3 linked regions of the Lepisosteus oculatus genome follow. The protein of the gene in region 3 purifies or fractionates together with the protein of the main gene of each other region. This does not show direct contact. Links are inferred from orthologs where the notes say so. Each region holds a gene or a part of one and is shown on either strand. Other genes may lie near its edges. The genes, in order: growth arrest and DNA damage-inducible protein GADD45 beta, gadd45ab and map3k4.

The links.
Region 1: the proteins of map3k4 (region 3) and growth arrest and DNA damage-inducible protein GADD45 beta purify together in Homo sapiens (co-immunoprecipitation; 3 studies listed by BioGRID and IntAct, counting the BioPlex papers as one, with this or other methods). This does not show direct contact. The link is inferred for Lepisosteus oculatus from reciprocal best matches to the Homo sapiens genes MAP3K4 and GADD45B.
Region 2: the proteins of map3k4 (region 3) and gadd45ab purify together in Homo sapiens (co-immunoprecipitation; 3 studies listed by BioGRID and IntAct, with this or other methods). This does not show direct contact. The link is inferred for Lepisosteus oculatus from reciprocal best matches to the Homo sapiens genes MAP3K4 and GADD45A.

The regions. Positions count from the first base shown.
Region 1 is NC_090724.1:1,677,360-1,687,788, forward strand, and holds growth arrest and DNA damage-inducible protein GADD45 beta, read right to left. Parts: upstream 3,965-10,429; 5' UTR 3,795-3,964; coding exon 3,751-3,794; intron 3,570-3,750; coding exon 3,468-3,569; intron 3,274-3,467; coding exon 3,051-3,273; intron 2,713-3,050; coding exon 2,599-2,712; 3' UTR 1,837-2,598; downstream 1-1,836.
Region 2 is NC_090704.1:2,049,629-2,061,221, forward strand, and holds gadd45ab (growth arrest and DNA damage-inducible protein GADD45 alpha), read right to left. Parts: upstream 5,591-11,593; 5' UTR 5,365-5,590; coding exon 5,324-5,364; intron 5,047-5,323; exon of another isoform or gene 4,982-5,046; intron 4,759-4,981; coding exon 4,657-4,758; intron 4,515-4,656; coding exon 4,301-4,514; intron 3,909-4,300; coding exon 3,795-3,908; 3' UTR 3,107-3,794; downstream 1-3,106. UniProt on the Homo sapiens protein: In T-cells, functions as a regulator of p38 MAPKs by inhibiting p88 phosphorylation and activity.
Region 3 is NC_090712.1:11,611,455-11,622,219, forward strand, and holds the start of map3k4 (mitogen-activated protein kinase kinase kinase 4), read left to right. Parts: upstream 1-6,145; 5' UTR 6,146-6,332; coding exon 6,333-6,364; intron 6,365-6,528; exon of another isoform or gene 6,529-6,664; intron 6,665-10,765. UniProt on the Homo sapiens protein: Component of a protein kinase signal transduction cascade. Activates the CSBP2, P38 and JNK MAPK pathways, but not the ERK pathway. Specifically phosphorylates and activates MAP2K4 and MAP2K6.

The sequences.
Region 1 (10,429 bases), on a different chromosome or scaffold from region 3:
CTGCAGTCCTTGTCCTGGAAAGCGGAGGTGCTACAGGCGTCTCGTGTTGCCTGAGATGATCAATGATTACGGATCTGGAAAGCAGTTAACTCCTCCTAATGAAGCCACAGGTTGATCCAATCAAGCGCACTCGGCGCTTGGCTGGAAAGAAACTGGGAAAGACCGGATCTCCGGGACCAGGCCTGCAGACTCCTGGTCGACACACGGCTCTCGTCCTGTGAGGCGAAGCCACAGCTAACGTGCCGGAGCTCCACTCCTGCCATAGCGGCCCACCTTCCACGGCGGCTAAATTTAACACACACTCCGCCCCGGTCGAGAAGCATGGAGGAAATGGGATTTATAGAGCTGCAGTTGTTATCTTTCACAGACGCTGCCTAGCTGGGAGTCTGTGGCTTCCTGTCAGGGGACAGTCTCCAGATAATCGCAGCTTTTGCAGTCGTGTATTTAACAGCACACTGAGGATCCCAGTGAACGTGTAGCCGGTGCTGCTAACAGCCTGCTGGCTTGTCCGGAGCCCAGACAGCCTGCCAAATCAAACAGCAGCCCTGCGTCACTGGCTCAGCCCTCCCCTGCAAGGTGGAGAGTCGAAAATGCTTTGTCTTGAAGGAAATGACGCTACTGAGAACCAAGGACATTCCTGGCTACTTGTTTTACTGCTGTGACTGGGTAGTGCACGTTCCTGCTGAGCAGTCATGGGCTCCCTGCGGATGTACAGCCTAGACCGAAAATCTGCCAAGCAGCCCAGAATCACAGATCACTCTTTCCAAGCTGGCATTGAAGTGCCTTGAGCCTGCATGCTTTTTCAGTCTCCTGAACATATTCAGCCAATTTCACTTTGAACTCGGAAGCTTGAGTTTAACCAGATCCACAGTAGCAGCAGCTCATGTGGCTAAGCTCTCCAAATCCCTTTTTTCTCTCCCTGGAAGGGCTGTAGGTCCCAGCGAGATTCCAATCTTCCAAAAAAGATCCTTAAACTCGTGTAACCTTGGCTTTGGATGAAGGCTGCTGTATTCTGCAAGCAGAACTGCACACATCATGGAGGAGAAGGTTTATAGCTATGTTGAAGTGGTGGGACAGCTGAGATAACAAGCAGGCAGATATTCAAGGGACTCTACAAGGTCAGAGATTATTGAAGCATCTTCTGCGTGGACCCTCAGAGTTGCAAAGCAAGATGCATTCAACACAAGCAGAGAAAGCTCTTATCCCGAGCCCCAAAGACATTCATATCCCACATTCTGCAGCCCCTGCTCTGTCCTTGAGGAAAGCACCTGATATCTGAATTCTGAAAAGGGTATTGTATCGGAAACATTTCCTTTTTAAAATGAAATGTGCATACAAAGCAATAGTTCACCCTCCTCCCCCAGAACACACAAACATCCCTTTTGGGAAAAAAAGGCCCCCATTGTCCTTTCATTTCATAATTGTGGAACCTGCAAGTCTTTTGAAAAAGAAAATTTGCAACAGGATTAGAAATGCAACTTTGTGAGCGAGGTGCCCTTTTTGTACCCTGGGAACTATTCCAAACTGGAGCTCTGCTTCTGTAAGTGAGATCCAGCCTCACTTCAATGAGTTAGTGAATCTTTATTTTGTAGGCCAGAACAGCTCCTGAAGCATTAGGCTGTTCTGCAATAAGAGGATGAGCTTGAATTATAACACAAAGGGATAATAAATGTATGCTTATTGCACACTGCTACGAGTGCAATAGTTTGAAACACTGTTGGAGTTTACTGTGCAATGTTGAACCCCAAAACCCACCAATGGGGGTGCACCCCCACCCATTCTCCCCAGAAGAGCCACATCAGCATGAGAGCCAATAGAAAGAGACAAGAACTTCAATTTCCAATCCAAATAATTTATTTAAAAACAAAACAAGTGAAAACTGGCATTCGAAAACACGTTCATAAATAGAAAAATGAATATATTATTTCATCTCGACACTTCAATACATTCCAGACCCAGCTTGCACTGCTCATGTGAATGTCCCTCAACACCCACATCGCTGCGAAACCAGCGGGAGTGCTGGTGTGGGTTCTGACATGAGCTTTGAAAGTCACTTGCAGTCCGTGTACTGGGAAGCGGCTGAACCCGCTCTGCTCGCACACTCCCACAGGTTTCTTGTTTGCCGTCTCCTGCCGGTTTGCATGTTAGTCAGAGCGCCGTTCCTCTCCACCGTGTGTGTCCGGGGGATTTTTTGGGTTTGTGTCACGTCTCCCCTACTGCAACAGGCAAGGCAATCGTCACGACAGTCTAACCCCCCTCCCCTCCCGCCGCCGCCACCCCCTCGGCGCTGTGAAACTGGCAGGGTTGCCCGTCGCACCACGGCGCTGCTCCGCCGCCCTGCCCGCCGGCCCGCCGGGTTCCCCCTCGGCGTCCCCCGCCAGGGCTGTTCCGCTCTGCGGCGAGACCGCGGCCTCCGGGCCCGGCCCTGTCCCGTCCACTCTTTCCCAGCTCCTTTCCAACTGCTCGTTGCAAGCCGAGGGCCGTGCGGTTGTGTGTGTGTTGTTGAATACACCCTAACATTTTTTTAGTTATTTATTTCCTTCCTTCCCCCGAGAATGTCGCTGTTGTCCTCCGCTTCGGCTGGGGCGCCGGCGCCCCTCAGCGCTCCTGCAGCGCCAGGAAGGGGACCCACTGGTTCTGGCAGCGGCTCTCCTCGCAGTAGCTGCCGACGGCCTTGAGCGCCTGGCTCTTCCCGGAGTCGGTGTGCGGATTCTGGGAGGGGAGAAGGCGGATCATTAGCACGCTGGCCTGTATTCCCGAAACTGAAAGCACGGGGCCATGTGACGCGCGATACTGCCGAGCTGCCGGCTCGTCTCACGGGCGGCTCCGAGCAACCCCGGACCTCCCACCCCGTTTTGCATGCCCCCGAATTCGCTAAGAAATGCCGATTCTGGACCACGGGTGCCAGCTCTGAATGTTGCACCCGGACTGAAGAGACACATGCCCAGCATGCGAATGAGCACCGCGAATGAGCACCTCCTGCGTCTCAGCCACGACTGCTGGTCTGCTACCCCTCCCGCACCCCGGGCACAGCGCTGTAGGACACTTACAGTGACCAGGAGGCAGTGCAGGTCCCGCGGCTCGTTGGCGTTGCAGTCCGCGCCCGCCTCGCCCAGCACCTGCGCCAGCCTCTGCACGCCCGACACCCGCAGGATGTTGATGTCGTTGTCGCAGCAGAAGGCTTGGATCAGCGTGAAGTGGATCTGCAGGGCGATGTCGTCCTCGTCCTCTTCGTCCGTGGCCAGGATGCAGAGCACGACGCTGTCGGGGTCGCTGCGGGCGGAGGAGATACAGCGTTACTACACGGGCACCGGGCTCTGCAAACCGCCCCGCTCGCTAAGTTTCAGTTTGCACTCCTCTGCAACCTCCCTAACGCACAATACGGTGCAATAATACAAGACGTGGAAGCACAGACACCTCGACTCTTCATCACACGTACCCGGCCGATGAGATGAACGGATACTTACATGTTCATTAGCTTTGCAGACTCGTAGACCCCCACCGTGAGGCTGTCCTGTCTCTGAGCCGTCACCAGCAGCTCTTCCAAAGCTTGCGCCACGGTTTCCATCCTGCAAGAGAGAACAGGGAGCCGAGGTTAGGACTTGCTAAGCGCGATCCCAGCTGTTCAGAGCTCGCAGGAGCCGATGTGCAGCCCTACACAGTCAAAGAGAGACCCGGCTACAAGGTGCAGTCGCAAAGCACAGCGCTCAGGTGAGTGAAACTCAAAACTTCTTTAGAGCGTTTACTTACTTTTGGTCAGCGATACTGCATCCAACGACTTCTTCCAGAGTCATGTTGAAATATAAATTGTTGTAATCCACAATGTCCAGATAAACTCCAAAGTTAAAATCCCGTGTAACAAGGTACTCGCTGGCTGAGTAATCCAAACGTTGCAGCTCAGAGTCGTTGTAACCGAGTCCGATCGCCTGAGTTACAATAAACCGGTTTGTATATCCAAGTCCGCTCGCTTAGTTTCTGGGATATTCTCGGCGGCAGACGACTATATATTGTCTTTTCATGTGGGCGAGGCCGGGTCTGCAGCCCTTTGCTCTGATTGGCCAGAGGATTTCAAGAGCGAGCTCAGCCTTTGCAACCATTGGGCGGCCCGTACGAACGTATCGCTCTGAGCCCACGTGGGGCGCGATAGCCTCTCTCTCCCCCCCCCCCCTCAAAGAAATTCACCCGTGTTTGTTTGAATTTCGAATCCTCTGGAATTCCCGGACTGTTTCCTTACGCCGTTTTTCACTCGGGAACAAAAGTGAAAATAGTAGGAAAATAATTGCAGGAGCTTCGGTAAATAAAAGCACATCTGAAATGTCGGCTCACTGCAAGCTCTGTCGACAGCGAGGACCTGTTCGCTTGCATGAAACTTTTGAAAGGTGTTTGCAAAGCAATACAGTGATACTTTTCGGGGATTTGCGTGCTTCTGTACTGGCCCAGTGTCTCTTCTCTAGCAAGGGGACTGCAACACCAGACCCCACTCGGCTTATCTTATGATCGCGTCTTTTTTGGAAGCACCTGACTTTCCTCGTGTTAGGAGGGGGACTTTGCGCCTCATGCAGAACCGAGGACGCGTTGTGCAACTGACAGGGCAGCGTGACAGGATAAAACAGCCTCATCTGAGAATGTCATATGATTAACTTGTCGCGATCCGACTTCATGTATTATTCTAGATGTATCGGGGTGTTTTTTTTTTTTAACCTGCAGCATCCTCCAACGTTTAGTTTCCAGAAAGCAAGACCGGATTTCTAGATGTGTTACCTGGAATTTTCATAACCTGCGCGTCGTCGCGTCCGCATTCCTGTGAGGTTAATTGCGATTTCATGGACGAGGCGCAGAGACACGCACTACATTGTTGACGCTGTCTTCACTGGGCTTCAGTGTTCGCATACCTAATTTCTGTTGGTTTTTGTGGTGGCCCAACTTCCATAACAAAGTTATGAAAAATCACGATCGGTTTTTAATTTCAGTACAACAAAACAGGTTTAGTAAGCACACTAGGAAGAGTTGCAATGCTAGATGCAGACTGGTGTTCTCTTTGTGCTTTGCGATTGCTGTGTGCCGTGCACAGTAACTGTTGATAAGCAACTGTCCAAATCACACTGCAGCAACCCCGAGTTTTCAAATGAAAACCGGCTCCACGTTAACTTTGTTATCGGGGGGTCCCCCTAGTGGTCACAGGCAGTCACTGCAGGTACATGTTGTAACGCCTCGCAACTTTCATGAACTTTCCAGCATGAGGTAATTCCAGGGTAATAGCCCTCACAATTTATTTGCCCTTCTTCTGTTAAGTAACGTTTTGTGTTTTTTCGTGAGGCTTGCACACAAAAAAATAATTTTACTATTATTGGAAAGAAAAAAAATAATCTTTAAAATAAATTGACTGCAACAGTTTGCTGTGTGAAAGAGCAATTTGCAATGAAATGCAGTCAAAATGGTTGCTACGAATGATAACAGTAACAGATTAACGTGGCTAACATGCCCTGAGTTAACAACTGCTCCCCAGCACGGCAACTTGCTAACAGTCTGAACCGGATTGCGTGACGCTGCACTTTCGCGGCGGGGCTCAGTATCTCGGCCCGCGATCGCCCTCTGGTGGAAAGTGGGCGCATTTAGCCAACTGATAATTGAAGCCGTGCTGCCACCTGCCTGTCACTGTTTCCAGGCGAAAATGAGAAAATGCGTCTTTCTGAAGTGTCTCATAGGGTCAGTTGTATGTGTTTAATTGACTGTCGCATGAGTATGTTTTAAATGTAAGCGGTCATTTATTTTTCTCGTGATCTCTCATTTTTATTTCAATTCAAAAGACGCGGGTTTTAATTCATGGGTGAATTTCGCTGAAGGACTCAGAAGAAATAACCTTAACTGATGTCGAGATACTTCTGGAGCGCATGTGTTTGGAATAGCATAAGACGGTTGCCACGTACAGGGTAGGATGAGACGTAGCAAGGCATTCAATCGAGGTCAGCGGCTTCCTAAATCCATTTCTCAATGATGGCAAACTTGACGACTGAAGTGTCCACGATTTAAAGCGAGGCGCCTCTCGCCCTGGCTAGAGATCGTATTGGTAAAATCACATATTTCAATTGCGAGGCGCCACCGGAGCTGTTAACAGCCGGTTACAGCAAGCGCCCGACACATGTAAATGAAGAAACGGAAAGAAGTTCAAAGTTTTTCGTTCGGAAATCCAGGTTGATGTGCCAAGCGCCTGAGCGAGGTGTGAAACGGAGGAAGGCGCTTTCTTTTGTCAGAGTCGGAATTGCGAGGCTGCAGGTCGGTGCTTCAGGACAGAGTGTTCTGCTCGTGTTAGCAGGGCAGTGTTCACACACACACACACCTCAAACCGAGCCCGGGGCGAGCTTGGTCTTGCTCTTAACGGTGTTTGGACACAGTTGTTGTTGTTCTGTGTGTGTGTGAGAGGGAAGGACGTGTTTTTCATTCTCTGCGGAGACACGGACTGAAGGGGGCTGTGTGTGGGGGATGAGTCAGTCCGATCATGTAGTCATTAACCAGACAGAACGAGGAGTCGATCACGTCTGTTAGTCACCATCGCCATCAGCGCTGCCGACACCGTGGAGCTACTGACCCCCGAAACAAACAACACCGGCTCGGTGTCATGATGGAGTTAGCGCTCCTTAACTGTCCTGACTATAACCGGACGCGCCGACACACAAAAAACGACATTCTGCAGATTTATATCAAATATATATATATCTTCTGCAGATATATCCGTAAAGATGACCGTCACTCTACCGTAAGACGTCTACTTTAATCTGAGGAAGAGGTGAAAACAGGGTCGCAAATCATAGAATTTTATATATTGCTGTTGTAGTCGCATCAAAACGCTTTTAAATCTCGATTTTAACCAGAGGAGGGCATAGACAACAAATGATCCCATTTCCTGTACTCGTCTACCTGGGAATGTGGTCGGGGAGCGGGAGAGAAGTGTCCCGCGGAGGTGCGGTACCGAGTCAGACACTGGGGGTTCTCTCCGTGTCCCTCGAGACTGGCACAACTGCTTTAAATATTTCAGCACTTTGGTCTGACAAAATGGTATCGGTGCACGAAGGCTGCAGCTGGCCGGTACTCGCACGACAGTGCTCATACGAAGCCAACACGATCGCTTACTGTCCTGATCCCCTGACAGTGAATCTGCGCTCCTTCTGTCTGGGCGTCGATTTCACGCTACCGACATCAGTGCAACAGCGCTAGGTAATCCCCGATACCCACGGCTGCTCACCGGCTTCACTGGGACAAGGTAGTCTTTCACCTTGAAATTCACAAACACACGAGTGGTGGAAACAGTCAGGAGTGGGCGAGTTTCGGGTCTCCTTGTGCAAGTTGGTGCCTATTCTCACCCACGCACGGAAGAGAACGTACAAGAATAGCTCAATTGTACTGCCTCCCCCCACCAGAAGTAATTTGTAAAGGAACATGGAATTGCCCTGAACAAAAGAAACTATTTTAGCATTCGATGTAAAATGCAGTGTGCCATAGACATTTTTGTTAGGGCCCCTGTGATTCATAAGTCGCGGTCTGAAAGCTCTCTTTATAGATGTGAGTAAACGGCACAGCAAGTTGTGCTAAAAGCCCGACCTTCGACCTCTCCGATCACAGCTCAAACTTGCGCTCTCCCTGGAAATCATGGGATCGGGGAAAACTGCAAGCAGGTCTGCTTTCAGCCGTGGAGCTGATCTGGAGTTCCTCGAACACTTTGAAAGTGTGCTCTGAAGTTCTAAATGGCTAAAAACATTTTCTAAGAAAATAAACACTGATAAAACACTGATGATATTCACTGGCGTGGAGATAAAGTTCCGACCAACTAAGCAACTAGTAGGATCCACGGAGTAGCTAGAAGGTGCCAGTTGGAGGGACCAGGTGGATTTGAACCTGTGACCCCCTGTTTATAGTGCCCTTCCCGAACTCCTGGTGGTTAGAAAATGAGAGCTTCTGGAGAAAAAAACAAACCTGGACCAGGAAATAGCAGGAAATACCCTAAAAGGTGACTGGAATCAGATGAGCTGGGCTGCTTTTCCGATTCCTCAATGTGAGGTTTGTTCACCTTGCCTGTGTCCTGGGCACAGGAGGAGTGTTCGTCGGGGAGCTGCAGTGAGCCAAGCGAGGGGAACAGAAGGAGCTGGCCTGTCAGCACACAGCTGCAGCTCACACAAGGTACCACAAGCCTTCTGACAGAAGACATTTCCTTTCTCCTTTTGCCCCAACGAAAGACACGAGGGCGAAAGACACTGGGCCTTGGTGCTTACCTGGAAGTCTGCTGCCTGTTGGTCCCGGAGTTTCACCCAGTGGTTTGTCAGAAGACCTCCCAGGGGGCAGCTTGTGTGCTCTGCCCAGGCAGCTCGCTTCTGATACCCACAGCGCTTCCTGAAAGGTACTTTAGCCCCTGCTTCCTATCCCAGAAACCCTGCTGAGGGATTACCAGCTATGTCTTTCATTGGCTGAATCAGAAACCGGCCAATCGGGTTGTATCTGGCCTTTGCCCCTTGTCTGAGTGAGGCCCTGGTCTCCAATCCACACACGTGGCTCCGGTGCCCTCTTGCTGTGCGGACCTGCTCGTTTACATGAGACAGGCTGGCTCAGGGACACTGTGATGGGCCATTAGACCTTAATCTCAGGATTGGCTGGCACCTGCTGCAAAGGTCGTTATCACCCATCCCTCAACTCTCGGCCTCTGGTGTGGAGTGTTCAAATGGGACCGAGCCTTAAGGCGCTCCTTTTGTCCTTTCGGATCGCTTCTCTGCACGTTTCACTGATAGCTCAGGGGACAAGTGCACAGCAGAACACACCTCAGTTTCTAAAAGCGCTCTGCTTTGCACATGCATGCGAGCAATTTAGATAAAAAACAACTCTTGAACAAGTGATTCAGGATGGCATTGACAGAGGTTTCGGCGGTAAGCTCACACGCCCAGTTCTCTTGAGCTTGGATCTGAGAGATGTAAAGATGCCTGCCCAGCATCAGTCAGAGACTTAGTCCACAGCCAAATTTGGACGAAAACATCAGATTAATGCTAATTGGGATAATAATAATGGCAAGTCTCTGCCCTTAGATTATTTTTTTTGTGTTGAATCCTAAAATGGGGAGAGCATTATCATCCTATTTAGCTCACCAGCCAAATCTTTCCTGTAGACCCTCTTCAATGATAAGGTCTGGAACCGCCACCAGGTGCAATATTTCCCAAAACGCACCATCGCGCCACTCCTACATCGGTGGTGACAAGAGAACCGTGTTTATTTCTCTCTTTTTCAGTAGCTGTTCCTGTGCCGCCAGCCTCGTCTCCGTGGCCATGACCAGCCTGGGGCCGCACTGGGTGATGCTGTCTTCCTACACGCCTGCAGGGTGCCGTCAGGCGCGGGGCTAATCCGGTACTCAACGCGCAAAAAATAGACGGTCTAATCTTAGCCGTCGAACAGAAATAGCTTTTTTGCCGAGTCAACAAGCCCAAGATAGAATGTCGCCAAAAAAAAAAAACACACAGGCACACACAAAACTGGAAAACTGACTTTCTTTTTGTACTGCCCTCCTCGCTTGGCTCCCTGGCAGCCCCGGGCTGCTGGTTTCTGGGCCAATGCCTGCATGTCCAGAGCGCACTGCCGGCTCTCCGGCACGGACACTCCGAGACCGAGGAAGCGAGCGTCTGTTTTCGCTCACAGGCTGGTCTCTTACGAATGAAACACCACCTGACCGTTGCCGACTTGCCGACTCCGTTCGGCGGTTGACCGGGCAGGACGGCACGATAACGCCAAGAGCGCCAGCCTCGGGCACCCAAAAAAAGCATCAGTACCTCTAAGAACAGGGGATAATATTCAAATAATGCTTTACTGATGATGGCGTTTGGGACACTATACTGTAAAAAAAAGGCTCCGTCCTTCGGAAGAGACGTAAAACCGAGGTCCTGACTTTCTGTGGTCATCAAGAATCCCCATTACCTGTAAAGCGCTTTGAGTGGAGTGTCCAGTGTAATGCTTTACATTAAAATCGGATCAGTAATTAGCTACTACCAGTATTTATAATACTGGTACGTAAAATAATACGGTGAGCTGTTAGAGTGATCAACACGTCATTATTACCCCTCTCGAACTTCGGTTAATAACTTCCGTTTAACCTTTAGAACCCTGGAAAACGTCTGTCGATACACTTGAGGACTAAATATGTGTATTCTAGAAGGCCTCATAGCCTTGTTTGTTCAAGGTCAATAGTATAATAAGAGTAAAAAGCATCAGAATATAGTACAATTCTTGACATATTTGCGAGGTCGCGCTTTGTTTTAAAAACATTTAGTTGCAATTTGCAATAATTATATTTCTGTAGTTAATGCGCCTGTCTCTACCTGCACAATGTTAATAGTTCGATTAATGTAACTGTAAACTCACAAAAAAAGATGGAAGGAAAAAAAGCTGAACATTTTAAGTA
Region 2 (11,593 bases), on a different chromosome or scaffold from region 3:
TGCCAGGACACTGCACCTCTCCTGCAGGTCCCTCTCGAACTGCGGATTCCCGAACGGAAGCTTTGTTTGGAAGAGAGTGTTTTGAATAGATGCTGCTCATTTCAATGATGCTGCAGTGAGACCATGGTTGCAAAGGTGACAAAGAAGAAAAGTGTTTGTTTTTTTTAGTTTATTGCACCTTATTTATTGTGGGTTTTGTAGATGCCCCTCTTTACGTGCTGGGTTTGATCCTCAGTAATGTAGGGCACGTCGGCCTCATACACTGAGAAGCAGGGAAACCACAGAAGGGTCACAGCCTGGGTCTACATGGTTAATCTCGCTCACGTCAAACTCCTTAAACTTCCTGACACACAGGCTTGCCCAATACACTCCTGCTGTATATGCCATGAGCTCAGTCTGTGACATATAAACTCCACAACACAACATCATAAGGACCAAGCAGTCAGGACTGGTCACAGAACAGCGCGATTATTTCTTTAGTCGTTGGTCACACGATTCTCACTGCTGATGTGAAGACTCGATATTTGCCCATTCCTTGCGTGCAAACCCGTTACGTAATGGTTTTCAAGCTTTTTTTTTTTCTTAAGACTTCTAAAACATGTTGCTGGTGAAGCTGCAAAACGAGATACTGAGAATGTTTTCTCTTCACATGATTTTATTCTGTCCTGGGGATCTCGATGGAAGACCAGCAACAACACACATGCAGTGGGTCTCCATCCTTTAATACACAGTAGCTAAATGTGTGCAGGGGAATTCTGGAAGCCCTCCAGGGGGCACTATCTTTAACCCGCAGGAGAAATCTGATCGTGAATCAACAGGCACTGCAGTCCGAGCTCTCCGCTTTCACAGCGCCGAGGAGAGCGGGGTCAGAGACTGACGAGCGAGCGAGTCAAACGTTAGTTTCGACCTTTGAACTTTTCACAAGGACAGTCGGCCCCAGACCACACAGGAGCAGGCAGGGTTGGGATGCTTATCTCTGTGGTCCTCCTGTGTTTGTCTTAACTCGCGTCCGTCCCCGGAGATGCCCGTGCGCTGCTCTGATAAAAAAAGACTATCTGTGTCCCTGCGATATGGCTTTGGTTAATGGAGGTCTGTCATTCTTGGGCTTTCATGAGAAAATCCCCTTGCGTCAGGGGGTGATGCTAGGAGACCTTCTCATGAAAAAGTCTCACGGGACTGAGACTGAGACTGTGTATACCGTAGTTTGTGATATTTGAAGAGGCTCGACAGCGTGGGAGCTGCTCGTAACAAGGCGAGCTTAATTCCACGCTGGAAACCGAAAAAGAAAAATGCAACGTTTAAGTCTGCAGAGGCTCCTTCACGCACCAGAAACGTTGTTTGTCCTTCTCTCTGTTTTTTTTCTTTAAACCTGAAATTAATCTCTTGGCAGTGTGAGACTTTCATACACGTAACGCACTCAGTCCAAAACCTGACCAACAGTAAATTGTTTTTCCTCTGCGAAAGCCGGCGTCATGCAGTTTTATTTTTTTTTTCTAATGATAACCTGCACGTCTCGTCGCGGCCAAAATACTTTTTTTTCAGTTGCTGATAACAGCGCTATAATACGCAGCAGAGGAGAGACCCGTGACTGACACGGGAGGGCTATTCGCGAACAGGGTCTCGACAGCCTTCGACCCCTGAAGCAGACGGTGCCGCTCTCTCCGGCACTGTCGGTGCTCCTGCGCCTCATTTCTCGTCCCGCCTCCGCTCCTGTGCGGGACGAGCGCTGCGCAAACTGCGCTTTTCCACATCCACGCTGGAGTGTCCGGTCTCGACTGCTTCGCCATCTGCGCCGAAGGCCGGTATAATATCGCACCGCTTTCAGCTGCGCCGCGGGCTGCAGAATGAAGCCGGTTGACAGAGCGACACCCGGAGAAGTTTCCGAATGACGGTGTCCGTGACCGGGGTCAGCGGGGCTCTTTCTCCATGGAGACCCGGCTGTGGTGCTTTTGTCCTTTGTACAGTTCGCACAAAACACACAATGGAAAAACGCGCGTGTGTGCGTGCGTGTGCGTGTGTGTGCGCTCTCAGTGCCAAATCCTGTTCTTTCCTTTCGTTTCCAGTTTATGACCTTGGGCTTTTATCAGTCAAGGTCGGGTATTTTCACACGCTGCTTTAAATAGCTCTTCCCAAAGTCGTCCCCCCCCCACACACACACCACTCCACTCCGAAATGAAGTGTTGACCAAACCTGAGAAAGAAAGCCCACGCCATCCCCAGCTGTAACATCAGATGTCTCATTATGCAAATAACCGCTGTTCTTAACAAAACAAAAAACACCTTGAAGCTTTCAGCCACTTTCAGGTGACGGGTGGGGGCAGTTTCAGGCCATCCAGAACAGCGCAGAAGGAAACAGAAGAACCAAGCGCTGCTTTTTTGGACAATTTATCTTGCACGGCCTATGATCTTACGTGCACGCACAAATGGTTTATTTTTCCCTTCATCTGCTGCATTTATCCCAAGCCGTGTCCGCCCGCAGCCGGTTCCACGGCCGGGTGGCGCTCAGGAGCAGCGCAGGCGAGGTGCCGAGCTCAAGGACACAACAGCGGTGTCTCCCCTGGGACCCGCGTCCAGGGCCGGACCCGCCGGTCCACACCGCTGCCCTACATCTTCTTAAGCTGTCATGACTGGCAAGTTCCTGTGTTGCAGCGTTATGTAACTTCATGCATAACACCCTCCCCTGCCCCACTCCGAGCCTCAGATAACCTCATCCGAACTAAAGCAGATTTTAGCGTTAGGCGCCAGATAAGCTGCTGAGCATTTGAAACTGCAGCAGTATCTTTGAAACCTTGCAAGGAAGGGAACTGGTGGCCTGGGCTTAGGTGGGGAATGAGCAGCAGCTGGGCTTGCACACCAGCAAAGCCAGTACTTGCTGTGCCAGGAGCGGAGAGAACACGCAGACTCCCCACGGACAGGCACTTCAAGCTGGAATCCACACCAGGGGCTGTGTGGCAGTAGTGCAGCCCACGTCACAAGGAAAACCTCTGTCCCGAACCCTGTGAACGGTCCCAACGCATCAAAATCCTCCCCTGCAGGCACTAGCAGAAGCAGAACTCCCCTGTCTCCTCTGCTCCAGGCAGGCAGAGAACTCGACCTGCACACGAACACGAGGTCCAAGCCATTTATTCAACAAATCTGATGTTGGTAGAAACGGCAACATAAATACAATAAAGTTAATATAATAAAAAAATAACTTAACAGCAATGAAAACAAAAGTTACCGGTCAAACGTTTCTTACTCAAAATAATTCACTGCAATGGCATTCTGCAGAAGGCATCGTCATTGCTTATCCAAAAGTAAGGGTCCGAGCGCTTCTCTTTTAAATAAGAGTAACAGAAAAACAACAACAGCAATAGTCATGAAGATAACGGTAATAATTAACTCCAGAATCTCAAAACACCCCGTGTTTCCTGCTGTAATACCTAAAATGGGGACCGGCTCGGCCCGTGGCGTCTGTCCAGTTTCAGAGTCCCGGCTGAACCACAGATCCCCTCCTGCGAGGCTGATGAGCCCCCGGACACGGCCCACTTCCTGCTGCAGAGCAGGCCGGCCCCCAGTCTGCTGAGTCACGCCGCCGGCCCACGGCCCGCTGCTCCGCCGGGCCGGCTCCGCCTCTCCCAGCCCAGCTGCAAGTTATTTTCCACCAGCGTGAGAGGTGGTGGTGGTGGTGGTGGTGTTTTTCATTTTTTTTTTGTGCCTCCTGAGTTCCTCAGCAGAGCATTCCGGCAATCCAGTGCAATTCATCGGAGAGAGGGAGAGAGAGGAAAACGAAGGGCTGGCGTCGCAGTCCGGCCCTCAGCGCTCGGGGAGATTGACGAGGGGCACCCACTGGTCCAGGCACCGGCTCTCCCTGCAGAAACCGTTCACTTTGCTCAAGGCGGGGTCTTTCCACGCCGACGAGTGTGGGTTCTAGGGGGGGGAGAGGAGGAGAAGGGGATATGAATAGGTGCGGTTTTGTTTAGCACTCTTTGAGGGCACCCCTGTGTAGAGGGCCGCAGTCCCAGAGCTCCCTTCCTCTGGGGGGCGCTGCAGGGGCCCTGAAGGGGCTGCTCTCCTCCTGGGTTCGGCCGGCTCTGTGCCACCCCTGCTGGGGCCCAGGGTTATCGCTTATTGACAGGCACCCAAACCCCCCCCCCGAGGTTCACAGGCACCAACCATCACAGCGCCGGCGGCGGAGACCAGTCAGTTAGTGCCTGTGGAGACCAGTCAGCCCCCCGCCTGCACCTCTCTGCCCCAACAGACACAGAGAGCACCAGCCGGCTCCCCTGCAGCGGCACGGGCAGGCGGGCGGGCACACTCACCGTGACCAGCACGCAGTGCAGGTCCTGGGGCTCCCCGCCCTGCTTGGCGGCCCCCAGGATCTCGGCCAGGCGCCCCATGTTGCCGACGCGCAGGATGTTGATGTCGTTCTCGCAGCAGAACGCCTGGATCAGCGTGAAGTGGATCTGCAGGGCCACGTCCTTGACGTCCTCCTCGTCCGTGGCCAGCAGACACAGCACCACGTTGTCCGGATCGCTGGACAGGAGGGCAGAACAACAACAACAACATCATCATCATCATCCTCCTCCTCCTCCTCCTCTCAGCGCGCCGCCCGGCCCCGGACCGGCCCCGGGGCTGCGGCCGGACCGGCAGCGGACACGGCGGAGGCGAAACTCACACGTTGAGCGACTTGGCCGCTTCATAGACCCCGACCGTGATGCATCCCTGCGGCAACGCGGAGTGCAGCACTTCTTCCAAGGCTTTTCCCACGGAATCCATTCTGGAAAATAACAGGGATGGGGGGGAGGGAGAGGTGAGTCAAAGGAGGAGGAGAAGCGGCGTCGGTCCCGGCCGAACTTCCCCTCGACCTTTGAACAGCTTTTCCGTTACAGACGGTGTCCGTCGACGGTCTGCGAGCTCCGCCGTGTGCAGCCCCGCACACCCCCCCCCCCCACAGGACACGACACACGGAAGCCGAGCCCACGGTTGCGGGCAGGACCGACCTGGGTGGGAACCCCGACCGGACCGGACCGGACCCGACCGGACCGGCGTGCAGCCGGGCTGTCGCGAGCGCAACCCGCCCCGCGGCGCGAGCTCCCGGCCGCACGGGTGTCCCCGAGACCGGCCGCACCGCGACCCCCGACTTGATCTACACGGGCACCCGGCTCGGCTGCACCCCCAAGACACCCGTCCGCGCTTGGCTTTCGGAAAGCAACAGGGGTGCTGCGGGCTGGAATGAATGAACCGTTGTTGTTGTTGTTGTTGTTGTTGTTTTTAAAAAATAATACACGTCCAAAACACAAGGGTAGGCTCGGGACTGAAACTACCGCCGCCGGTGCAGTCACCTTTCTGCGGCGTGATCTCCACTGAGCTCCTCAAAAGTCATGGTGCACAATCAGATCCGGGAAGGTGGGGGGGTGGTGGGGGATACAATATCCAAGGTGGAGGTAGTCTCCCGGGAATCCCGGCGCTGCTCCAAGGAGAGTAATTCCCAGACAAGGCGAGGCGTCCGGCGGCTCCCGATTCTGTGCGCGTCTGTGCAACAGGCGCTCCGTGACTGCGGACGAGCTGTGCCGCTCGCCACCTCGGCACTACATCTGCCCCGATTTGCATGCGGGAGCTGATTGGCCCGGTGCTAATGAGGGAGGAGGTGTGACCCCGCAGGGCTGGGCCGCTGCGCTCTCGCCGCCCCGGCTGGCTGGTCTGATTGGAGCTCCGTCCTACAGCAGCCACAGCCCGGTGCACAGCGCCTCAGTCCAACAACTCGTCTTTTTAAATCCGTGCGCGGACACAGAGACAGAGGCAGAGGCAGAGGCAGAGAGAGAGCATGCAGGTTTCATTTGCATGCAGGTTTCCCCCGACAGACAGGAATGAGAACCCGAGAATAAGTTTTTCTGTGTGTTAGTGGATTGGAGCCCTGCACTGTCAAGTGGGATGGCTGTGCAGCTCAGCCCCGGGGGCGGTGCGTGCGGAGACAGCCGCTTTATTTGCAGTTTAAATACGTCGAAAGAATCTGGTGAATGGCGACCCCGAGTGGCCAAACCGAGGGAGCTCAGCCCACTCGGGTGGTGATTGATTGCCTTAGCGGGGTAATGGGGTCATTTGCACAGCCAGAACCAGACGTTGGTGGGCGAATAATGTGCTTGTCGGGGTGACAGGGATTACAATGCAAATTAAATATAAGGCAGCGCAGACGGAGAGGGGGGTGTAGAGTTGAAAACCCGCGCTGAGTTAATAAGGCAGGGGGCGTCCGTTCCCACCGACGTCCTGCGCTTTCCGAGACGCCTCTGCCTGCAGTTCCGAGGCAGAAATAGAAGTTCGTGAAAAGACGCTTCCGGTCCGGTGACCCGGCAGCAGGAGGGCGGCGGGCGGCGCACCCGCGCGGGCCCCGGCAACAGGCTCCTGATTGGCCAGCCGCCCGTCCAGGCCGGCACGAGGCGGCACAGGGGATTTGAGCGCGAAAAACCAGGTACCCGCGAGACCCCGAGCGCGGGTGCGAAGGACGACGTTTCTCGGGAGTCGGATTCTTCACGGCCGCTTCACACACGTCGATATTAACGTAAAGAAAATAAAATAACCGACTTACGATAGGTACACTTATTTTCCTCCTCGCACTTTGCTGTTCGAAACTCCCCATACTCCCTGCGAAGGGCCCATGATACGGCCTCTACACCGGTATCTGAAGTAACAAAACATAAAACAGTTTGAAATTGGTTAGTCCATAATTAATTTCAAATGCGTTTAACATAATCGCTATATTCACCGATTCCTTATTTCATTCCACATGAAATAAAAGTATAAACTAATGTTATATTAATACAATGCAGCGTGCGGATAACCCAATTTTCGGTCAGTAAATCAATCAGCATGGTTGTGATAATGTTTCTGAAACTAAGGCAGCTGGCCTCTGGATTAATAGTGGTTATTTTTATTAGTCTTTGTTGTCAGACTCCATGCCTTTAAGATTAAAGGAAATTGCTGTTTTTCTATTGTGTGTGTGTGTGTGGGGAGGGTGGGGGGGAGGTTAAATTCTAACAAATAATAATTAATTTTTTTCTGCAAACAAAACAAGGGAAGGTTATTCAAAAAAGGAAGTTTCCTTACCTACGAACCTCATTAATCTGTAGAGTGTTGTATGGATAACCTTGGAGAGTTATGTGGGTCCTTTAAGGCTCCCCACAGGCTGAAAGGGATGGTTGAGAGCTGTTTACTGTATTAATTTAGCCCTGACGCCTGGCAGACTGCGAGATTCGACCGGTACGGGACTCCTCCTGCGATCAGGTCCACCGGTTACACTGACCCACACACGCTTCGGATTCTTCACGTGAAATGGAAAATGTTCCTTTTGGTTACAGAAGGCCTTGAAACAGTTCTCTATAAAGACCCGCTTGATATATTTATGTACACAGATGCTGTAAGGAGCCTGTCAGAAGCGTTGAAGACGTTAGGGTTGGATCAGGGTCACATACCTGTACAGTACATGACTCTTAATAGCTTTTAGTTTGCCCACTGAAGGTTTAAACAGGCTGTATCTCCAGTAACCCCTTCCCAGGTATTGGAAAGTAGTGTTGCTCAAATAAAGACAACATTTACTGTTCCAGGATTTATTTACTTGAAAATGTCCACATCTGACCTGCAATCCACTGGGTGCGATGCAATTTGTATCCAGCTGTGATGATATCCGATATTTACAATAAATACGTTAGTTGGTTTGGGGTTTAGGAATTAGGATGGGGACACCAAGCTCAAGAACTCAAAAAGAAGGAAAGACTGAAGGAAGTGAAGAATTACAGGGTGCAAAAACGAACCCCCAACACACACACACCAACCCAGTCAAAGGTATGACCTAGAACTGCACAGACTAACATAAAACACACCAACACCCTGAAGCTGAGTTCAGAAACAGGAAACCATGTGACCCACTAACGTCAAGCTGCTGAGCTAAACGTTGTAGCCAAACTGCAAGCTTAAAACATAAAAACACCAGTCTGTCCCCATAAACTGCAGAGCCTTGGAAAACACAACCAGGCAGCAAAACTGGCCCGGCCTTTATCCCGCCACGCTTTGAAAGTAAACAGCGCTTGCTGTTCAGACACAGAGCCGTCTCATGACTGTCCTACTGTTCGACTTGTTTCCAGTCAGTTCTTTATTGCAAGAAAAATAAAATGACACAGCTCTGTTTCACAAGTTGGCAGTTATATTGTCTTTTTTTTTTCTGGCACTCCCGGCTGAGAGGATTCAAGGCACCTCTGTAATTGTGGTTTCTGCGTTAACTGCAGCTCAAACAGAGAGGCCTTTGAGGAAACAAACACACACTCAGTGCTCCTTGCTCGCACCCTGGAATCCCTGTTTAACCCAAGACTTGCACCTGAGCCAGCTTTCATACAAGCAGTGTAAGGTTCAGTTTATCAGGATATTTTGTCCAAGAGCTATCATGTCTCCTTTTCTTATTGAATGTAAAAATTAATGTGAACATCAAAGGCATGCCCGTATGATGTTAACAGTGGTACACCAGAGTAAAAGCATAGAAAAGTCCAGTGAACCACAATGAAATCGCAGTCCATGCATGGTTATGCATTAAGAGTTATGGTATAGAACTTTAGGAAAGCATGGCCAAGGAAACATTGTCAATGTTGTCTGTCTCCGTACAGGTGATCCCCTAGTTTAGCTCCAATAATTTTTTTTTAACCATACATGTAATACAAGTCACACTTTTTGGTCTGTAATAACATGGTGCGGTTTTATATTTACAGTATTTGACTGAAAATCTTCTTTAGAGCAAACTATATTTCAGCCCATTTATACATTTATATGGGTGCAGTACCTCGCTCAGGGGTGCAACAGCAGGGTCTCCCCTGGAATTTGAACAAACATCCTTCCGGTCCAGAACCCTGCACGCCAGTGCCCTACTCCTGTCCTGTCACTGTTTGTGTGAGCACCATTTGTATGGAAATACATTTCAATAACAATTCTCCAGTTCGCTTCTTTAGCAGTTGTTGCAAGAGCTGTGTTAAGGACTCTTAATTATGAGTAGCATCTCGTTTCGCCATCGGGCCCTGGAAATTTATTTTCACTGACCTGCAACTCTTCTGCCTTCTTCTTTTATGTGAATGGCATTGAATACAGAACATATTCCTTCTGTTGCCTGAGGCGTGTGGTCGAGTTCTTCCTCAGTGAACACCTGACTGAGAAATTAATTTAATACATCAGTCATTTCCCTCCCATTGTCTAGAAGTTTCCCAAAATCATGCGGTATGTTTTTTTTTTATAGTTGTAGGGCTGAAAGAAACTTTATATATTTTAGCCTCCACTGCAGTATTCCTTTCCATCTCTCTCTGGCTTTTTACATTTTCTACCTGCATTTGAAATTTAATGTTCTCCTAATTTAACTGGATCTTTTACCTTTAATTTGCCCTTACTGGTTTGTGGAAGATTTTCAATACCGTTCTATTTGTTTTTTATTTAATCTTGGGATAGTGAAAGGAGCTTGAACACTTAATTCATCTTAATTACTAACCTAGGAAAAAAACCGAAACTAAATTAGCACATCAGACGTTTCATATTCTGGTTTTCCAAATATAGAAGAAAAACGTTTCAATGCCTACACCTGAAGAAGGCTCCACGGCCGAAACGTTGTGTTCTCTTTCTTCTTTTTTTCAGCATGGAATAAACCTATAACTTGTTCCTTTGCATAATATAATATATAAATTATTAAACACAGAGGTACATTCAAAACTTTGCCTTGCGTTATTTTATCCATCACAAACTGGTCATCGCCAGCTAGCGGGCTGATTTATTAAAGCATACCCACACAGAACCCAGCAAATTTCAAAACGCATGACATATGTGAATGATAATCGGTTTTAGAAAAAGTGTGAATCGTGCAATCCACTTTCAGATAAAATAAAGTTGACTTATGTCTTAAGTCCCTTCTCCACATGGTGGGCAGCCAGTGCCGTTTTGATTTTCGGGTACACGATGAAGTTCCCCGAGAAACCTCGGCCGGGAAAGAATGGTTCCGTCCTACGTGGCAGAGACGCTTTCGGAGAAAGTCTACGGGACATGAACGGAATGATAATTAAATTTGCCATCTAATTAATTAAAACAAAAAACCAGAAAAGAAGCTCTTCAACGTCACAAAAGAATTCAGAAAGAATTTAAAATGTGAGTACACCGACCAGGTTATAAGTTTTGTTAGCAATAACGTTTTAGTTGTTTTTTTTTTCCCAGTTCTTAAGAAGAGCGACTTTTTTTTCCCCCAAGTAGTTTTGCTGCAATCCGGTGTGATTTTTGTCAGATAACGGACAGGTGCGGTCTTGCTGAAGGTGAGGTTTTTTTTTTGAACCACTACGCCTTCTTGGCCTTATATTTGTTTCAGAGACGAGGTGCAGTTGACCTCGTATGTAATACAACATGAACTTATCTGTGTATACGCGTGGATTATGTGTTAACAGTTTTTTTTATTGCCTTTTAAGAAGGGAAGCATATTTTATTGATCCGAACGGCTTTATTGTAAACACGCAGAGATGGTAACAAGTACGGTTATGCGTTTAAAATCGTAGATCGAATTGACCCTTACGAGAAAATAAACTACAGCGCCTATTCAAATGTCCCACTTTTCGGTTATTTTCGCAAGGCGAATTGTCAAGCAAATATTCAGTCTGTCAGAACCGGCCGTGTTTATTACTATACTTTTTGTGTATTCCAGAGGACACGTTTTTTTTTTTTTTTAATATTGCAGTAGGTATTGTAAGGAAACCGCGATTGCCCTTTTCTGTGACTCGTTACTCGCTTGGTCTGATGGAAAGTTTGAGAGCAATTTGATCCTAACTTCTCTCCTCTTCACAGACAGATCATCGAAATGCGAAATCGGTTCGTTTTCGGCTGACGTCTCCAGTGTTTCAGGCTGGGGCCTTACAGGTAATGTCAAATTTAAAGACCGCGTTCCCCTGCCTATAAAACGGGGTTATTTTCTATTGTTTTCTGTTTTTTTTTTCTTTAAAGATAAAATTACACTTCTGTTTTTTTTTTCTTAAAGATAAAATTACACTTCTGTTATTTTTTAAACAAAGAAAGATTTGATGTTACTAAGTGTTTCAGGGCAAAAAAAAAAAAATCCAAGCAAAACTGTAATCCTAATGATGGAGTACAAGTGGAGTGCGAGGAGAGAATCTGCACAACAGTCCATCCACCTAAGCCTGTAGGAAAAATAATGCCTTTGAGCAAGAAAAAAAAACGTCCTAAAAATGCTCCAAAGGAATTCCATAAATACTTACACAAGATTCGAGATTGACCAAACACCAGTCGGATGACATCAATGGCGTTTGTTAGTGTGTGTACAGTATCGCAGTACATGCAGGTCACAAGAACACACTCCTGTGGAAAACACTGGGCTCAAAGCGTTCACCTTTTAGTCTACAAAGACTCAGCTGTTTATGTTGATGCATCGTTTTCTTGTTCTAGACCATGTGGGGAAAACACCCATTCCTACAGACAGAATGTTAGGATCTGTAAAAAAAAAAGTGCAGATATTAAATCATACGTACATTATGGATACATTCTACGGTGCTCGGTCCAGGGTATCAGGCTCCACCAGCATGGCTGAGCGGCTTGTT
Region 3 (10,765 bases):
TATTAAGTGTTTTTAAATAACTTAGAATCTTATAAACAAGAATTCTCCAAAGGTTTGTTCCAGTTGGAATAAATTATTAAAAATTGAATATATTTCGTATAATTAACTTTAATTCATTCCAGTTGTATTAGCTATTCAGTTCCCAATTTTCTGAATTTATTACATTACAATTATATATCTGAGTTTAATATTTCATTTAAGCACAGGACAAACAGCTATTCTAGTATGCATTCACATTTAATTGGGCACTTGAGACTCCATTTCAACAGGCTCAATACACATTTACATTTAAGCATCCACAGCAAACTTTATCTCTCAGGGTAATGAGGCACTGTTTTTCTGTTGTGTGCATTATATATGCTATTATCTATCCTCCATATAAAATTCTCCTCAATTGGGAACAGATACAGCATATTCCAGTGGGTCTCTAGCACCCAGTACTGAATCTCTTAAAAATCAATCAATCAACTCCAGTGTTTGGAGTCAAGGTAGAGGATATGTTGGTGCTCACCCTCACCACCTGTGGCTGTTCCGTCAAGAAGTACATTATCCAGTTACAGAGGGAGGTGTTCAGTCCCATGTCCTGGAGCTTGATGACAAGCTTTGAAGACACTATGGTATTGAATGCTGAGCTGTAATCAACAAACAACATTCTCACATATGTTCCTTTCTTATCCAGGTGTAAGAGGGCTGTATGGAGGGCAGTGGCAATAGTATCCTTTGTTGACCTGTTCTGGCGATACGCAAATTGCAGTGGGTCTAGGGTGTCAGGCAGTGAGGAGGTGATGTATGCTTTGACCAACCCCTTAAAGCACTTCATGATAACTGAGTTGAGTGCAATGGGGGCGGTAGTCATTCAGACAACTGACTCTGGGTTTTTTAGGAACAGGGACAATGGTGGTTTTCTTAAAGCAGGTAGGAACTATAGACTGAGCTAGAGAAAGAGTGAACATGTCCTAGAAGACACCACCCATAGCACCTGAATGCTATTAGACATGTATTTCTGGAAGTAGAGACAGCACATGGAAGTGTATTGAAAGTTTTTTATGATTTTGAATTAATGCCAGCATTTATTATTACTACATTTGAGAATTTTATGTTTCAATGCTTTTCACTGCCACTGGCATACACAGTACAAATACAGGGGTTCTTCAAATCTAACTCCAATTTTATATGAAGTATTGAATAATGCACTGTATTTATCTGTAACAGCAGGGTTGTGGTTTGTGGGCACTTTGAGATTTTAATTTTTTAAATGCACTTTGGCATTTTATTGTGCAGACTGTGACACCATGAAAGGTCTGTCAAGTTATCAGTCAGCCTCAGACAGCAGGAAAAAAATAAAAGACTCTTCTCTGAGATATTATGCTAATCTGTTTACGCATGCTTTTGAAGATGAAGTGGAGCACTGAGTTTGTTACATACCACTAATATAATATATACCACTAATATTATATATGCATATTTAACCCAAAAAGAGTTTTTTAAACATCTGTTACATGTTACATTCTTGAGTATGTAAGAACATATATAGCTCTAGTGGCACAATCGGTCAGCGTGCAGTACTTATACAGCAGTGCACAGGCAAGGCCTGAGCAAGGGCCTTATCCCCAACTGCTCCAGAGGTCCTGTATAAATAGCTGACCCCGCGCTCTGACCCCAAGTTTCTCTCCCTTTCTGTGTGTCTCATGGAGAGCAAATTGAGAATTGAGAGATTGTATATGGCCAATAAAGTGATCTCATATAATAATTGTCTTGTCCATATTATGTATGTATATACAGCCATCAAGAGTGTGCTAATACTAAACGCACAGTATATCACTGTCCATTTTTTGTTAGCCATTTCTTTCACAGACACACATTACAAATTCTTAAGGCAGGAACGATGAAACTGATTAGTGTCCCAGTGGAGTGGTGCAAGCCCTCAGTTCATTACAGAACTTTTAACAATCTTCCCCTTGCAGCTGATAATTGGATTAGGGATCAAGGGAATCCTTTTTTTCTTTCCCTACTCAGTATAAATTAAATGACCTTTGGACTACAATGTCTAGGGGATGGGGAAAGGAAGAACTCAGAAGGCGAGTGTTTCATGTAGAAGGGTTCTACACCTCTTTAATGTCAGCAGTATATTAAACAAACCTTCACACACTGCTAACACACATTTTGAAGCTTAATTTTGTCTTGGTAATTTCTTTTTGCTGCAGGAGACAGGATTTCTCTCCATAACTTTCCATTTAAAGCGCAGAGCTGTAAGAACTCTGAGAAGGGGTGTGCGGGTTCACAGGTGATGTTCACTGTCTGACTCTATTTTCTGCCTGTGTCCCAGGGAGTGACTCACTCCTTATATCCCTGTAGACTGTGCTGCTGAGGCTGAGCATCAGGCAGGGCTTTGCTGAAAGGTCACCCTGTGGGAGTCCTTGACAGACCTGCTGCTCTCCAGGCTCCATGCTGTCAGAGTTCTGTGTCTCAGCGTGCTGCTTTATCACCCATTACAAAAAATAGTCTTTCGTATGGATGGCAGCAATTAAATTTATGTGTAGGGCGTCTCATTTCTGTCAGCTCACAATGTCTCCATGCAATAAATGGCTTGTCAGCTTGCATGAGGCAGAATGAATGTGTGTGCATGGGGGTGTGACTATGCATTGTATATGTATATCTAGGTTGGTGTTTGTGTCTCTGTGTGCATGCTCTGTTCCAAATTTATTCTCCTTACTTTTAAAATCAAAACTCTTAGAAAGAATAACCCAATGAATTTATTGTATCTTTATCAAATGGCTGCAGGAAATATCTTTATTTTGTCTTTTACAACTTTGATCAGTAAAAACCAGTAAAGACTGCAAATTACTTTACAGTCATTTATATACCGGGTTATATTCAGCTTAAGTGCTACAGTGCACAGTGTACTGATGGTCAGGGTCCGGGTTTTCACTACAATGTTGCTCCTCTGTAAATAAAAATACACTTACAAATGAAGTCATTTACAAATACAGACCTATGGTCCTCATTTCTATAAACAACAATAAAACAGTAAAATACAGTAACAGAACTACACTAGGATTATTGAGCACAATCCTATACACTTTAAAAATTAATCAGTCTTTTTATGTTGTTCAAGAAAACACATTCAAAAAGTTATTTTGCATCACCTGCTTCAGTTCATTAGGAACTGTCTATTCTCTCCACTGTCTCACACTGTTGGTCTTGGTTACAGTCCTCATTCACATCACTCCTGTTTCTCAAGAAACAAACTTCCCTTTTTGTATCGATAAACATTGTAGTATGTACAGTATATAATTAAGTTACAAATATCACATTAAATAATGCGAATGACATTTACTATAGCCTGTCAACAACTGTGGTCATATTCTTTCGCATATTCTTCCTCCCACATGAACTGTGCAGAAGTGACACCTTGTGGTTCAGATTGTTATTCTGAAGCAGTATCAAAACAGAGAATATTTAAAAATTTAGCCTAGCCCAACTCCATCCTCTGTATATTTATAACATGTTTTTTTTTATTTTTTAACAAAATAAAACATATGGGAAAAGCAAAATACCTAAAATGCTAAAGTATCTAAAGAACTGTTTTACTTCAGATGTCTGGCTAAGGTGAGGAGTAGGATATTGCAGTAAGAATTCACAATATTTCCTATTACACTAATCATTGTGATCTTTATTCTTTGATTGGCCCTTTATGCATACTGGATGAATTTTTCTTTGCACCACAAAGATCTTACAGAACTTTGACTGGGAAAAAATAGGTTTCCTTTCCTCATAATGTTATTCAAGAATAATATACAATTTCACAGTTAAAATGTATTTTTCTATCAGACTTAATCTCCCAAGAGCAATGATTGAATCTACTGTAGGTGCGAGTCATTGCTATTTACTGTTGCCAACTGGAACAATCTGCAGAGTGAGTTGAAACTATCCAACTTTATATCTAAGGGTGTTTTCAGTTTCATGGTTAACTCTTTTCTACCTGGCATTTTCTTCTTTAACACTGATTCAATTCCTTTGCAAAAATGGTGCTGTCCTAAGCTTTTTGTCAGCATGTCATTGCAAATGAAAATTTATGCTCATCTGATTTTACTTTAATGTGATGACTGAACTGTGTGATAGCAGGGTTACCATTCTCTAGCCCGATCCTGTTCAGTCTCAGAAACAAAGTGAGGTTAGTTCTGGTCGGTACTGCAATGGGTGACCACCAAGGAAGACCAAGTTGCTTCTGTCAGTGTAGTTGGTGGTCCAATAGGAGGCACTTTGCCATCTGGACAAGGATATCTATACCAATGTCTCATTGACATCTTTTGGATGAGATTAAAAATGAGATCCTGTGTGCTTGGTCATTAAAGATCCCACTCATCATAAGGGGATTGATGCCCATTAGGTAGATGGGTGCTGCAATTACGTGATGGATGAATTGGGCCCCCTCATACATTTAGTTCTGGGATCCTTTAGGGTGATATGTGGTATATAAAAGTAATTAATTAATGGAATAATTTCCCTTAACAGCAGTAGGGCTACTTAAGCTGTTCTTCTTTTCTTCATGTTATGTTAATGAGGAGAATTTGGGAATAAAACTGAAGAACAGTATATAAACTACATGATCAATGCTTAAATATGTAAGAATAATGTTCATATAGAAACAATCTGAAACACTGTCATCCCACAAGAACCCTCTCTGTCACATTGCATATACAAGATATTAGGTTTCCCATGGAAATGAAAAACTGTGGACAGAGCTGTCACCATTCTCAGACTGAATACTCATTTACAGTCTCTTAACATTGAATGAAGCATTTGTTCTGTTATTTTTTATTATTTATTTGTGGAAAATGTGCTATCTTTCCAGCTTCAGTATAATGCTGTAATCTGAGACAGAATGAGATTCGATTCCTTGCACAGCAGGCCAGTCGATTAGCAAACCAAAACACAGAAAGCGCTTGGAGCACAAAAACTGTTACTATGGTAAAACAAAACTGATGGATATCGCTGGTCTGTTTTGTTCTGGAGGTTTCTTTTAAAAAGAATATACGGAATACACTGAAATTCAGTTTGGTAATGAACTGATCAAATGAACACAGAAGGCAGGGCAGTGTAACTTGTAGAAATGCATGCACATATCACTTATCAGCGGTAATGCTTTCAATTTCCTGTCTAATGGCACAGCCCCATTTATTCATTTAGAGGATCACAATGAGGAGGAAATTGTTACTGTGCCATTCTCTCTGAGATTTTTTTTGTGTTCTTGCCAAAGCAAAATGATCCATATTAAGGTCTAGTTGTATCAATATAATACACAGCTGGGCAATCTCTTTCAGGTTATTTTATGAAAAAAATTAACTTGAGAGTAAAGCAATGCTATGGTTAGGTTAATTGAACTCATAATAGATAGGAGTACAAACATCACAGAAGGGATTTACTTTTGTGAGAATGTAGAAGTGTCTTAAGGAGCAATTAATAGATTCTTCAAACTTTTATATTATTAGGGTCTTTAAAAACTACCATCAAAACTTTTTGAACATTCAAATTACATTTAAGTTTAATCAAAATCCTTTAAAATGCAACTTATTACTTTAGCATCTTTTGCATTTGTCTATAGCTGTTCAGCCACTACCATCTAAGCACTTCACACACAGAAGATTACTCAATTCCCAGTTTAAAACATCACAAAATGGGGATATTAACAAAAACAATAATTTAAGAACAAAATATTAAAAGTAGACCGAGTTGGTCTGGCCTTACTGACATGATTCATTTAACAACTGTAATTTCAATTGAAAATTGAATTCATTTTTTGGTCCATTTTCTTTTAAGCCAATATATGCTTTAAAAGAATAATACATAATTTAACCTAATGTTAAAGTTGTTGAAAACATTTGGTACAATAAATATATGTACCATGTATATATGCATAATGTGTATTAAAAATTACAGTAGAAACATCGTATTCTCCCATGCGAAGCGTATTTCCTGGCCTTGTGCACCGGCAGCTTGATGAGCTGCTCTCTGCGGTTTATTAGTGCACGGTAGTAATTGCTGGGTCAGGGTATAATTAAAGCCTATCACACTAGCTCAGGAGTCGTCACGGTGGCTCTCTGATGTACTGCACGGGTTGCCGTAGAGATGAACTGCCTAGCTCCTTCAGTGATTGCTAGCAAGATGGCCGCTAAGCACAGAGAGAGGTGCCTGGGCTCTGCAGGGGGATAGAGACATTAGTGGGCTAGCGCCGATTTGGTGACTCTTGCGAAAAGTGCAAAACCCAGAAGTCTTCGCCCAGCCATGGCGGCTGTCATGCACATATAGAAAAATCCCACCCTCGCCCCAATATGGAGCCGGCAGCGTCGGGCGAGCGCAGCAGGTAAGCAAATCGCAGAAACTGGTGTGGTTTGAAAAAAAATGAACTACACAGCCGGGACCCGGCCCTTGCCACATTGTGATCTTACAGTGAAAACCAAAGGCATTGTTGGATTTGCGCTTGCGCAGCAGCTTCGAATTGCCTTCCTGTCAAAAAGTGATCAGCTTGCAGCTGCATCCTCAAGTGGTATAGTGTATTGAAGTTGAAAAGTTTTTGAAGAAAAATCTACATATATCTGCACGGGATTCCTGGTTCAGACAGAATATCGAGTAACATCATAAAAATGCTCACCGTCTAGAAAAGGTAATTACTTCATTCTAAGGCAGAATGCACGACAACACCGGAGGGACTTGTGTTGCAACACTTGCTTATTGTCTGCAGGATTTTCGAATGCACATTCCCAGTTGAAAACTTTTAAAATTAGATTGCATTGTAAAATGGGGACACAATGTAGGTGCACTTTCATCTTCTCTTTGAAGATTTGAATGCATTCTGTAGGTGAGTATCATTACCTTACTGAACGGTGATTTTAAAGATTTTCTTTCTGAGATGGTTCCTGTGAAATGTGCATATAACCAGGATTATCGGCTCAAAATGTACAGTATCATTATTGTAGTAACTCTGAGGGACAACTGATGTGAGACTAACGCAATCTGCTTTACTGGATCTCTGTTCAGCTTTGCTCAAATTCCATTTTGCTATAACCGGAATGCGCTCAGTATGGAGATCTTTTCTTAAGACTTATCTGCAATTGGGAACAGTCTTGGCACAGGTAGCATATTCTCTACAAATCCTGTTGCAGATTGTGGTGCTCAGTTGTATGAATGCTCTTGTGAAAAAGCAATACCAGTGCATCAAAATAATGCACGTACATCGGACAAGATGTTCAGGATTGTCTGGGGACAGTCGTTCATCCAGTAATGGTGTGTAATTTAGCATATCGAGTGTTTTTAAAGCAGCCTTTAGCTTTCGACAGTCCATGTCCTTTTGGATGCTTAGAAGCGGATTTAGAAAAAGGGCAAGACGGTCGTTACTTTCTTTCAAATGTAAAAAAAAAATGCATTTGATGTGATTGTAGAGTTTGGGGTCAGTTTTATGTCCCTGCGTGCATTTAAAAAACGTGCGATTGTTTTCTTTGATTTATGAGGATGCATACCGTCTACGTCATTGTGCAGGTTCCCAATGTGCTTTTTTGCCTGCTTCTCTTGTTTGCAATACAGGGAGACTATTGCTTAAGCAATAGTCATATTAATGAGTGTTTTTCCTGTTTTGCAAATTGTGTGCGCCAGTTTCCTACTTCACTGTAAGATTCGTAATTCCAGGAAACAAGTGTCAAAGAAAGATGACTAGGAAAAATGCAGATCCAGTTGCTGGAAGGACTAGATTACAATTCATGCATGAAAGTTTTATTTTCATTTTTGATTCTTGCTGCTTGGTTGTGGGTGTGATAATGGTCACGTTCTGCTTCTGATTCTTTGTTTCCATATTGACTTTGGTTTTGATATTTTGTAAATTAGTCTTTGAGAGAACTTGCTTGTGTATGTTGATGTAGTAGTTTCTTGTATTCATTTGCTCCTGTTTTACAAATACACCTGTACTTTGCAGTCCGTTTTACCTTTACTTTGCGTCAAGATTCCAGATTTTTATTTTTTGGATGTTAAACTTATTAATGTACACCAATATGTTGAGTGTGAATCCCATATTTCCCCATAGTTTCTATACAAGGGTTGATCAGAAATTAACATCACCTTTTTTAATTACAAAAATGTATTTGGTGCCTGAATTGTAGAGGGTATGATCATTTGGAATACTTCAGAATTCTGCACCAAGAAACAGGAAATTCAAGTCTTCGAGTACCAAAAGTTTCTTTTTCCATGACGCTTATTATTATTATTATTATTATTAATATTTTTAAATTGTAGGTCATTACTTTCTGTGCATTTTTCTTATTGTTTAAACTTCAGTAGGAGTGAAAAACAAAACAATAATTGTGCTGTAAAGTAATAGAAACAAATGTATTTTCTGTAAAAGAGTTATAATACTCAGCTGCTTGTCACAGGGGGAGCAAATTGTAAGTGGAAAGAGAGTAAAAACAGGGTTGTGTCAGCTTGCAGTCCTTGGTTGGTGATGCAGTGTGGAGGGATGCTGTCTGATTCATTGCATTGTTTGTATCATTCAAGGTCAGGAGGACCAACACCCTGTCGCACTGGGTCGAGGACTGAGGGTGTTAGAGGGGATGGTGGTGGGTAGAGGGTCCTGTGGAATTGTACTCCACATCTGTGGAAAGAAGCCAGAAAATCCATTTTATGGGTAGAACTCGTGGGCTTTGTCTAGATCACCAGCCAGGCTTTACATATGAAAGGCAGCAGGGGCAGCTTGTTTGTGTTGTTAATTTCTTGGCATTGTTAATCGTAATCTTTTCTAAACATCACGGCATGCCTTTTAGGCGTTACACTAGTGTTTTACCACACCAACAAGGACCTGCAGTTTTGTGTAGTGATATGACGGTAACCCTTTCTAACGGATGAAAGTGTCTATAGGTTTGAGGAATGCCTTTTGCCACACTTATTTGAACCCTTTGCCTGAGGACGTTTCACCTTTTCTTTTAGATAGATAGATAAGACTTTATTGATCCCAAAGGGAAATTGAGGAAATTGAAGTTTTTCGTTTTTGCATTTGTAAAAAGAAATTGTTATTGCCTGCAAGGCGCTAGTTGTACTGAGCTTTGAGCTATTGCACTATTAGTTTCAGACGTCCCTATAGTCCAGAGCGCTCTGGTCTTGCACTCTAGGCATGGGTGCCCTGCAGGGTCCAAGTGCGGTTCTTAACGGCACCTTTCTTTGCAGATTGTCCAGATAGCCATTTATAAACAACCAGCTTCTGAACTGGTCCATTTAAAACATGAATAAACTGGCTTAGATTATTAAGAGCTACAAACCTGCAAACACGCTACAGGACTAGGGTTAGAAACCTCTTCCGTAGACCTAGAGGCCGAGACCAGAACCAAATTACTTCCACTCCACTTAATGACTTCCTTGATTTCATTATGACTCAATTGTTTTTTAATTGTGTTGAGTGTACATGAGTTTGACTTTCCTATTAAATATGCAGGACATTGGCTCTCAAAACCAGGAGTGAGGATATCACTGTTGTAGATCCAGGACTGGGGTTACTCCCTAATGGCTTATGCTGTGTATTGCTGTGGCTGGTGCCATTTCTTCAACTGCGTTTAATGTGAATGTTATTTTTGCATATGACCTTCAGCCCACACTTGATTTTCATAGTACTAAGGTATGAAGGATGGGTGGTGTTTAAAGTGCACTTTGTCTTGTATTGTTACGACCCTATTAAAGACTGAAATTAAGCAGTTGGAAAATGGATGAATAGATGTTATGTTGCAGCAGTTAATACTTTAATGACCCTCATCCTTGACTTAAATTTTGGATTTCTATTTTTAAGTCTATTTTGGTTTTCTTCTTAGTTGTGTAAATGTTAGGTAACCATTAATAGAAATGTTTTTAAGCTTTAAAGCCAGGAAATTAATTAATTATTCCAGAATTAAACATACCAAAGCATGCATTATATATTCTAGTGCACAGCAGCTCTGCAACTTACATTTTTGCCAATCTGGCTACAAAGATTACAATTATAAACATCTGCTGATACAGCAGTTACTGACTGTTTTAAATTCAAGAGATGTTTCCTGCAAAATTTGATTTCTAGCCTCTTTTTGCTGTAAACCTAAACCCAAGAGCTTCTGCTCTATTCCGCTCCTAATTAGCAGTTAGACAGGTGTTTGCTATGGAATAGTACAGTGTTTGATTCTGAGTAGCTAGTCATGGTTTTTTGAGAATCACAGTGATTAATTCAACATATTTGTAAGAACTCCACATTCACCTTTCCATTGCTAGAAAACCATAGCTTTGTCATAGCAATTGTTAGTCCTAAAATTGCTTTATAGCTGAATTTCCGACTTTGATAACCTTCAACACAAACCTTGTTTTTCTCTTTTCCCACTCAGGCTTCTGGTTTAAATTGCTTTCCAGTTCCATGTGTCTGAAACCCCCCAACCCGATGCTGTTCTAAGAAATGATGCACTCGGCATCTCTCACTCTCTGAGTAAGCAGGCATATTTCTGAACCCACAGTCAGAAATAGCAGGCATTTTGTTTATACCAGCCAATTGGTTCAGTATGAAATGCATTGCGTCCAAGTGTTACCTTCCTATCTTTTCTGGGCATCTGTTATTAACCAGTTCCATGTGTAATACATTTGCATTTTGTACCTTATCTTTAAGTCAACAACACTGTTTTAATTTACTTTAATTGAGCAAAGTGCAAAGTCAAAGCTTGCTATATTAATGAAGATTTCCCCTTTGCTTGTTCTGTGTGTCACATCCTGATAA